2 linked regions of the Ovis aries genome follow. The main gene of each other region encodes a partner of the protein of the gene in region 2 in a complex. Links are inferred from orthologs where the notes say so. Each region holds a gene or a part of one and is shown on either strand. Other genes may lie near its edges.

Region 1 (3,746 bases), on a different chromosome or scaffold from region 2:
AAGTTCTATTTTGATTTCTTGATCTTTCATTCACGATTAGTTATCATACTTGCGTTACTAGATACTTAGTACAAATGAAAACACTGAAAATTGGCTTATTATTTAATTTTTAAAGTTAACACATCAAAGTGTATCACACTTCAGAGCAATCAAATTAGGAAACTGACACATTATTTCAGTGATGTTGCATTCCTTGAAATACTTTCAGAGATTCTTTTTTGGAACAGACTTCAATCCAGTTCTACAAGTCCCACAGGAAATTCTGTGTCATTACTTTACGGTTACAACTCCTATTTGACCTCAAACAGTATCACCAGCCTGGCTGCCTGATCTTTTTCACCAGACTTGAGCCCAAATTCTCTAAATGATTTGGATTCAATCTAACTTCGTTATTTCCTAAAATCAAATCTGCTCTAAAAAAAAAATGAAGAGAGTGAAAAATAACACAGGCTCCAAAGTGGATTCTAAGAGAAGTTTAAAAAACATTTTTTTTTTCTGCCACACCTAAAAGCTGCTGACTGAAAGAACAACTTGAAATAACTACTCTGAATGAGATAACACATGTGAATGTAAATTCTGATATTTTCAATCCAAAATCAACTATACTTGTTTACGGTCAACTGTCACATAATATTGGTTATTTTTCTCCACCAATATGTTATAGGTTACACCTTAAACAACCTTAGCAGAACTGCCTCCACAGAAAGACACACAAGAAACTTAACAGGGGTGGTCTCTTGAGAAAAGAACTAGTCCAGCTGGACAAAGAGAATGGAAACTTTTCACTGTCTTTCTATGCCTTTTACATTTTATACAATGTGAATGTACTACCTACTTTTAAAAACCTGTTTAACAAAATTACTTCCAAGTGTCAGTTTTGATGGCTTCTATAAACCAGAAAAATAAAGCACTAAAAAATGTGGAGTTCATGTTTTATCAGCACTTCACTGGATCTCCAGTGCCAGGGCTGAGTTACTCACATCAACTGTAGGGAAACCTTGCAAGCAGTTCACTAACTCCCCACAGTTGAGCCGTATCACTCCACTAAAGTTTAAACAACAATGATAGGAAACAAAAATTCAGTACCACAAAAATTAATGTGTCAATTCCAGAATGAAAACTGGCCGTAAACAAGTGAGCTATTAAAGCAGCAATGATCCAAACACATCTTCGAAAATTAGCGAATCAACAGCACGCTATAAAAATGGAAAAAAGATGTCAAGCATAGGGCCATCAGCGACATCACTCAAGCAGCCTGAACTAGAAAACGCAATATGATCTGTTGCTGGACACAATTGCACAATCTCAATTACCCAGAAGATTCTACCAAACAGGAAATTCATGCTGGGGCTTTAAGAAACACAGGAATTATATTCAAAGATTACCAAGTCTAAAAGCCTGGAACCTGCCCCGAAACAAAAAACTAATTTTGTAGACCTCTTTGCAAATAATGCATGCACAGGAATTACATGAATTAGCTTCAGGTCAGCTCTCAAATTACACAAAATCTAAAATACAGTGTATAAAACCTTAGAAGTTAGAAAAGTTAGTGAACTGAGTCTGGAAATTTTACAGTAGCGTTTCATTTAAAAGACATTCATAGTGTGAATTAAAGCTGAAAAGTGTCTCTTCCTTCTTTTGCTATATATTCCATATCCCATGAAAACCATTATGTACCTCTCAGGCCTTAAGTGCAGATTAAGTTCTCTGCAAACCCTCTAAAGGACTTTAAAAACACAGTGTTTCACAAGAATTATCACGATTAAAAAATATTTATAATACATCGCAGCATTGTTAAAAACTTTTTGATCTTGAGGGCGTCCAACGGATCTGAACCTCACTTGCTCCAAAGGAGAAAATCGTTTTGTCAAACAATACTTAAATGAGCAGTGGTATGTGACTAATCAGCGAGGCCGCCAGCTTCTCAAGCTGCAGGCACTACCACCACCCCCCACTCTGCGAAAAGGAAATACGCTTTCAACTGAATCGGAAACACACCACTCAAGCTGGCACAGGGCTCACCGAGATAAAGTCGGTATTTTAAGCTCCCTGGATAGCTGCTAATTCAAGTGCGAATTCAAAAAGAACCCTTCTCAAAATGCAATTTCGACAGAGGTTTGCAAAAAAGCCCGAACTCAACGCCCTTCGTCCTCAGTTTTGTTCAGATGACCGCAGTCGAGCTTTGCCCTTCTGCTTCTCCGGGCAGCTTCCCGGGCTTGTCTGCTCCGAGGGCAGGCACATCTCGAGAGAGTCCTTCTGCTCGATGCCAGCAGGGAGAGACCTCCGAAGAGGGACCCCTGTTCCTGCCCCCGTAGCAGCACCGCCCCCCCACCCCCACCCCCACCCCCAAGGGAACGCGCAGGGTGCGAGTCAGGGCCCGGCTCCAACACCATCACCCACCGCCCACAGCGGACCTGCGTCCTACACACAGCTGACCATCTACGTGGGCGTGCAGGGTGGGGGTGCAAGGGGGACAGGGAGTGCAGGACAGGGGTCGAAGAGGGCTGGGATGCCCTCCCCCCAAGGAAAATTCCTGCCGCTGGGTGCATTGCTGAGCCGTGGGGGCAGGCCTGACTCCAGGGCATACGGAGACACCCGGCCCAGCGAGGCCCCCGGCCCGGTGACACTCACCACACAGAGCCATAGGCGCCGGAGCCCACCGGGGACAGGTTCTGGTAACGCTCGGGCACCTCCCAGATGGTCTTGTTCAGCTCCTGCCGGTAGAACGTGGGCCTCTCCTGAGACATCTTCCAGCGGTGGCCGCGGGGCGAGGAGGTGGCCCTTGCAGGGCCCCGCCTGCACCCGCACCCGCTTCCCCTGACCTCGTAGCCCGCCCGGCCGGGCGGGGACCCCTGCGCTGGCCGCCCGCGCAGGTGCGGCTGCGGCGACCCTGAAGAAGCCCGCGCGCGCGCGCGGCCCCTGTCAGCCGCAGCGGCTGGACGCGCCTCACCGACGGCGGGGGAAGCACTGCGAAGGGCCGGGGCACGCTCCGGGGCCCTGGGCTGGCGCCCCGCCCAGCTCTCCCTGCGCTCTCTCCACACCCGGCCGACTCCCGGCTGCGCGGCGGGGTCACAGCTCCAGCTGCAGCGCCCGCGGAGCTTCCAGTGGTCGCCTTTCCCAGAGCCAGCGAACAGGAGCCTCCCGCCGTGCTCTCGCGAGAACAGCTCCCGGACCTCTCCTCGAGCCGAGATTTTACCCAATATGGAACCTGCCCGCGGGAGGGGGGTTGATGAAGGGAGAGCTTGGGAGAAGTAATTCTCGCGAGAAGAGAGCAACAGCTGGCCCCTAGAGGCAGGAACTCCCAGGGATTGCTCTCCTTTAGCGCGCGAAGGCGGACCCGGGAAGGAGCGGAGAAGCAGACGATACAGGCCGCGCGCGCCCCATCGTGGTCGGCGGGGCAAGTGCTTGGCTCCCTGTTGGAAAGAGACAGTGACAAATCAATCGGGTGTCTGGGAAAAGAGCCAAAAGACCTTTAAACGGTGGGTAATCACCAGCAGCTGAGCACCTGCTCGGCGGAAAACCCCCAATTTCCAAGAAGTACTTGCATAAAAAAGAGAAAGATTCCGGCCAGAAAGCCGTTGTAGTCCCATCTGCTCAAGGACATACACTTACTCTTCGGAATGCTGACGAAATCTGTCTCAAAGGTAAATATTAGCCCTGAATTAAGGTTGAGGTTTTTCCACCCAGACACTTCTAGTAGTTCTCAAACTTTTACGTGCAGAAGAAGCACCTTGGGCGCTTAAAAA
Region 2 (3,646 bases):
CGTCAAGCCCAGAGCCTGTCCTACCCCATCTTGTTCTCTCCTCTCCCCTCTCCCCACTTCTATCCTCTGGACTCCTCTGCTTGGCACTGGGCACAGGGAGGAGGCCTGCTTGGCCAGAGAGAACTGGGTTCCTTTCTGGTTTACAGTGGCCTCCGCATTGGGGATTCACAGCCCCCGAAGCTGCCAGACACGTGGGCCACCTGGCTGCCTCAGTTTCCTCATCTAGCCAGCACAGGAATTCCAGCCTACATGTTGGCAGGATTCTGAGCTGCGATCTCTCCTTTCCCTTCCTTTGGCTGGCATGTGAGGACGGGTACAGAATGTTACAGCCCCACCCCTTTTTAGTGGATTTTTGATTCATGAACATTCCCACTGTACTTCCCCATGGCCCAGCTCCATGCCAGGCTTAGAGATGCCAGGATGAGTAAAACCCAGGCTTCCACTTGGGCCAAGAAGGGAGTTAGGCACATAAAGAACCAATAGGGAAAAGGCAGACTTTCCAAGCCCCTTGGCGTCTGCTCCCTTGAGTCTCCTGGAATGTCCCTGTTTTGTAGACAGACGCTGGAGTTCCTCTTCGGTTCCCATGCCTACGTCCTTTCACTTTCACTCTCTGTGGGCACTGCACCAGCCCACATCCCTGGACTGCGTGACCATCACAGAAGGGAACCTGCTGTGAGATTTTCTCTGCTGCGTGGGGACCCTGCCAGGGCTTGGAGCTCTGTGAGATCGCTTCCCACGGACTCCCAGGACCCAGAGTCTGAAGGCTGAGCCCAGAGTAAGCCATTGGCAGAGGTGACAGCGCACGGTGTGTGGTGGGGGCAGGGGAGGGCCTGGGCATTTGGGGAGGGGAAGAGTAGATGGGAGTCAGTGCATCCACAGGCTTTGAAAAGCACCACGAGTTTCACTTCACCTGGGTTGGCATCTTTACAGCAGTGTTCTGGGTCTGTCCTGGGGGGGTCGCCGTGGGTTATGTACACAGGTCTGGGCTTGGGCCTCTGTAGGGAACCCAAATACAAGGGAATGAAAGGCATGCCTTCTGGAGTTGCTCTGCTGGGGTTCAGATCCTGGCTCTACCTCAACCCTTGCGTAGGTCACCAAGCTTCTCTCTGACTCAGTTTCTTCATATGTAAAGTAGGGCTGATCCTAGTACCAAATTCAGAGTGGTTGGCGGGGTTAATCGAAAACACTTAGGATGGTGCCTGACATGGTATATGTGGTTAATTAATAAACATTAGCCATTATTGAAGAGAGAGCTATGGTAGCGTGAATCCAACCAGCATAGAAGGGACCTCTCGTTGAGAAATGATTCCCCGATTCCTCGGGAGACATTGCTCCTAATATTAACAGAATCCTTTTTAAATTTTTTAAAAAATTTTATTTATTTTTGGCAGAGGACCAAAAGTTCTTCACTACTGCCCGTGGGGTTTCTCTGGTTGTAGTGAGTGGGGGCCGCAGTAGTGGTGGCCTGTGGCCTTCCCGGTGCAGTGGCTTCTTTCTTTAGGGCATACGGTCTTCAGCAGTTGCGGCCTGCAGGCTCTTTGGTGCGGGTGCAGTAATTGTGTCAGGCTTAGTTGCCCTGCAGCATTTGGAATCTTCCCGCACCAGGGTTCGAACCTTGTCCCTTGCATTGGCAGGCGGATTCTTCACCACTCAACCACCAGGGAAGTCATAAACTTGTTAAACCAGGGATGATGCATAGATGTCGCAGCTAGGGGCCTTAATTTAACTCCTGGCTGCTTCAGATCATCTGTGAGACCACAAGCCAGTTTGCCTTCTCTGAGCCTCAGTTTGTACATCTGTACAATGGGGAGCTTGCCTTGGTAGTGTCTGAGGGTACAGCTGTGGCTGCCTTGGCCTCAGGGTGGGGCAGACTTGCCCTCTCCACTACCCTCCGCCTGCTTTCTGAGAAGCCCTGCGCTGACCTCTTTCTCCTCCCAGATTGTGAAATGTGCGCGCAAGATGCTTTTCAGACACAGAGAAGCCAGCTGGTGGAGTTGCTGGTCTCGGGGTCCCTGGAGGGCTTTGAGAGTATTGTGGACCGGCTGCTTTCCCGGGAAGTCCTCTCCTGGGAGGACTATGAGGGGCTTAGCCTCGTGGGCCAGCCCATCTCCCACTTGGCCAGGCGCCTCCTGGACACCATCTGGAATAAGGGTGCCTGGGGCTGTGAGCAACTGACTGCAGCTGTGCAGGAGGCCCAGGCCGACAGCCAGCCCCCTGAGCTTCCCAGCTCCTGGGACCCCCACTCACCCCACCCAGCCCGTGACCTGCAGAGTCATCGGCCAGCCATCGTCAGGAGACTCTACGGCCACGTGGAGGGTGTGCTGGACCTGACACAGCAGCGGGGTTTCATCAGCCAGTATGAAACTGATGAAATCAGGCGGCCCATCTTCACATCATCCCAGCGGGTAAGCACTTCCCTCTTGGCTCGTCAGATTTCGGAGGAAAAGTGTGCTTAGCTATTGAGACTAGTTCGTGAAATCAGGCCTGTGGGGACTTGTGGGTCATAGTCCTCTTCCTTTAAAGGTGCGTGTGTGTGTGCATGCGTGCGTGTGCATGCGTGCTCAGTCTTGTCAGACTCTCTGTGACCCCATGGACTATAGCCCACCAGGCTCTTCTGTCCGTGGGATTTTTCAGGTGGGAATACTGGAGCGGGTTGCCATTTCCTTCTCTAGGGGATCTTCCCAACCCAAGAATCGAACCCAAGTCTCCTTTGTCTCTGCACTAACATGGGGATTCTTTAGCTCTGTGTCACCTGGGAGCCAGCGGTCTTTCCTGGCCATCCAGTGGTTAAGACTCCACGTTTCCACTGCAGGGTGCACAAATTTGATCCCTGGTCGGAGAACCAAGATCCCAAATGTTGCATGGTGTGGCAAAAATTAATCAATAAAAATAAATAAGGTAGCTGGGAAGGTGAAAGTTGCTGTGGCCTTTTGGTATCATGCCACTTCTAATGCGAGATGTTGTTATGTGGTGGCGAGCATCTTGGATTCTGAAGTCAGGCTGATGCAGGCTCAAGGCCTGTGACTTCAGATTTCTCTGTGGAAGCTCTCATTCCTTAATCTCTCCTGTCTCAGATTCCTCATCTGGGAAACATCAGTAAGGTCTTGGGAGAATTTGATGCGGTGAGCTACATAACTCTTAGAATAGTACCTAGCACATAGTAAGTATGCATTGTGGAGAAGGAAATGGCAACCCACTCCAGTATTCTTGCCTGGGAAATCCCATGGACAGCACAGCCTGGTGGGTTACAGGCCATGGGGTCACAGAGTCGGACACGACTGAGCACTAAGCCACCACCCAGCGCTCATCTGCTCACTGTTTACTATTAGTTCTGTAACTGGTGATGCTCTGTACTTGTTCACTTTCAGTGCCGTCTGCTTCAGATTAACAGCTCAACAGATCACAAACATTTATTAAGTTAAATCTGTGTTTAATAATTAATTCAAAACACTATGTACTTACGTAGTTTAAATGCCCACATAGGACTTCTATATGAAATTGCATTAGCTCATAAACATTCAGGGTTATGATAACTGCCTCTGAAGATGCCATTCCACAAGAACAGAAAAATGTCTTTAGGGTATTTCTGAAGCTCTTGGTTTTGTTTTCTCCCAAAGAGTGACCCTCAGGTCTCCTGTAGTGCAGA

The links. Proteins that work in one complex are often made in the same cells at the same time.
Region 1: NOD2 (region 2) and MAPK14 share a complex: the UniProt entries of both Homo sapiens proteins name them as parts of the signaling complex. The link is inferred for Ovis aries from reciprocal best matches to the Homo sapiens genes NOD2 and MAPK14.

What each region holds. Positions count from the first base shown.
Region 1 is NC_056073.1:10,093,818-10,097,563, reverse strand, and holds the start of MAPK14 (mitogen-activated protein kinase 14), read right to left. Parts: upstream 2,750-3,746; 5' UTR 2,748-2,749; coding exon 2,632-2,747; intron 1-2,631. UniProt on the Homo sapiens protein: Serine/threonine kinase which acts as an essential component of the MAP kinase signal transduction pathway.
Region 2 is NC_056067.1:18,618,224-18,621,869, forward strand, and holds part of NOD2 (nucleotide-binding oligomerization domain-containing protein 2), read left to right. Parts: intron 1-554; exon of another isoform or gene 555-805; intron 806-1,938; 5' UTR 1,939-1,946; coding exon 1,947-2,405; intron 2,406-3,646. UniProt on the Homo sapiens protein: Pattern recognition receptor (PRR) that detects bacterial peptidoglycan fragments and other danger signals and plays an important role in gastrointestinal immunity.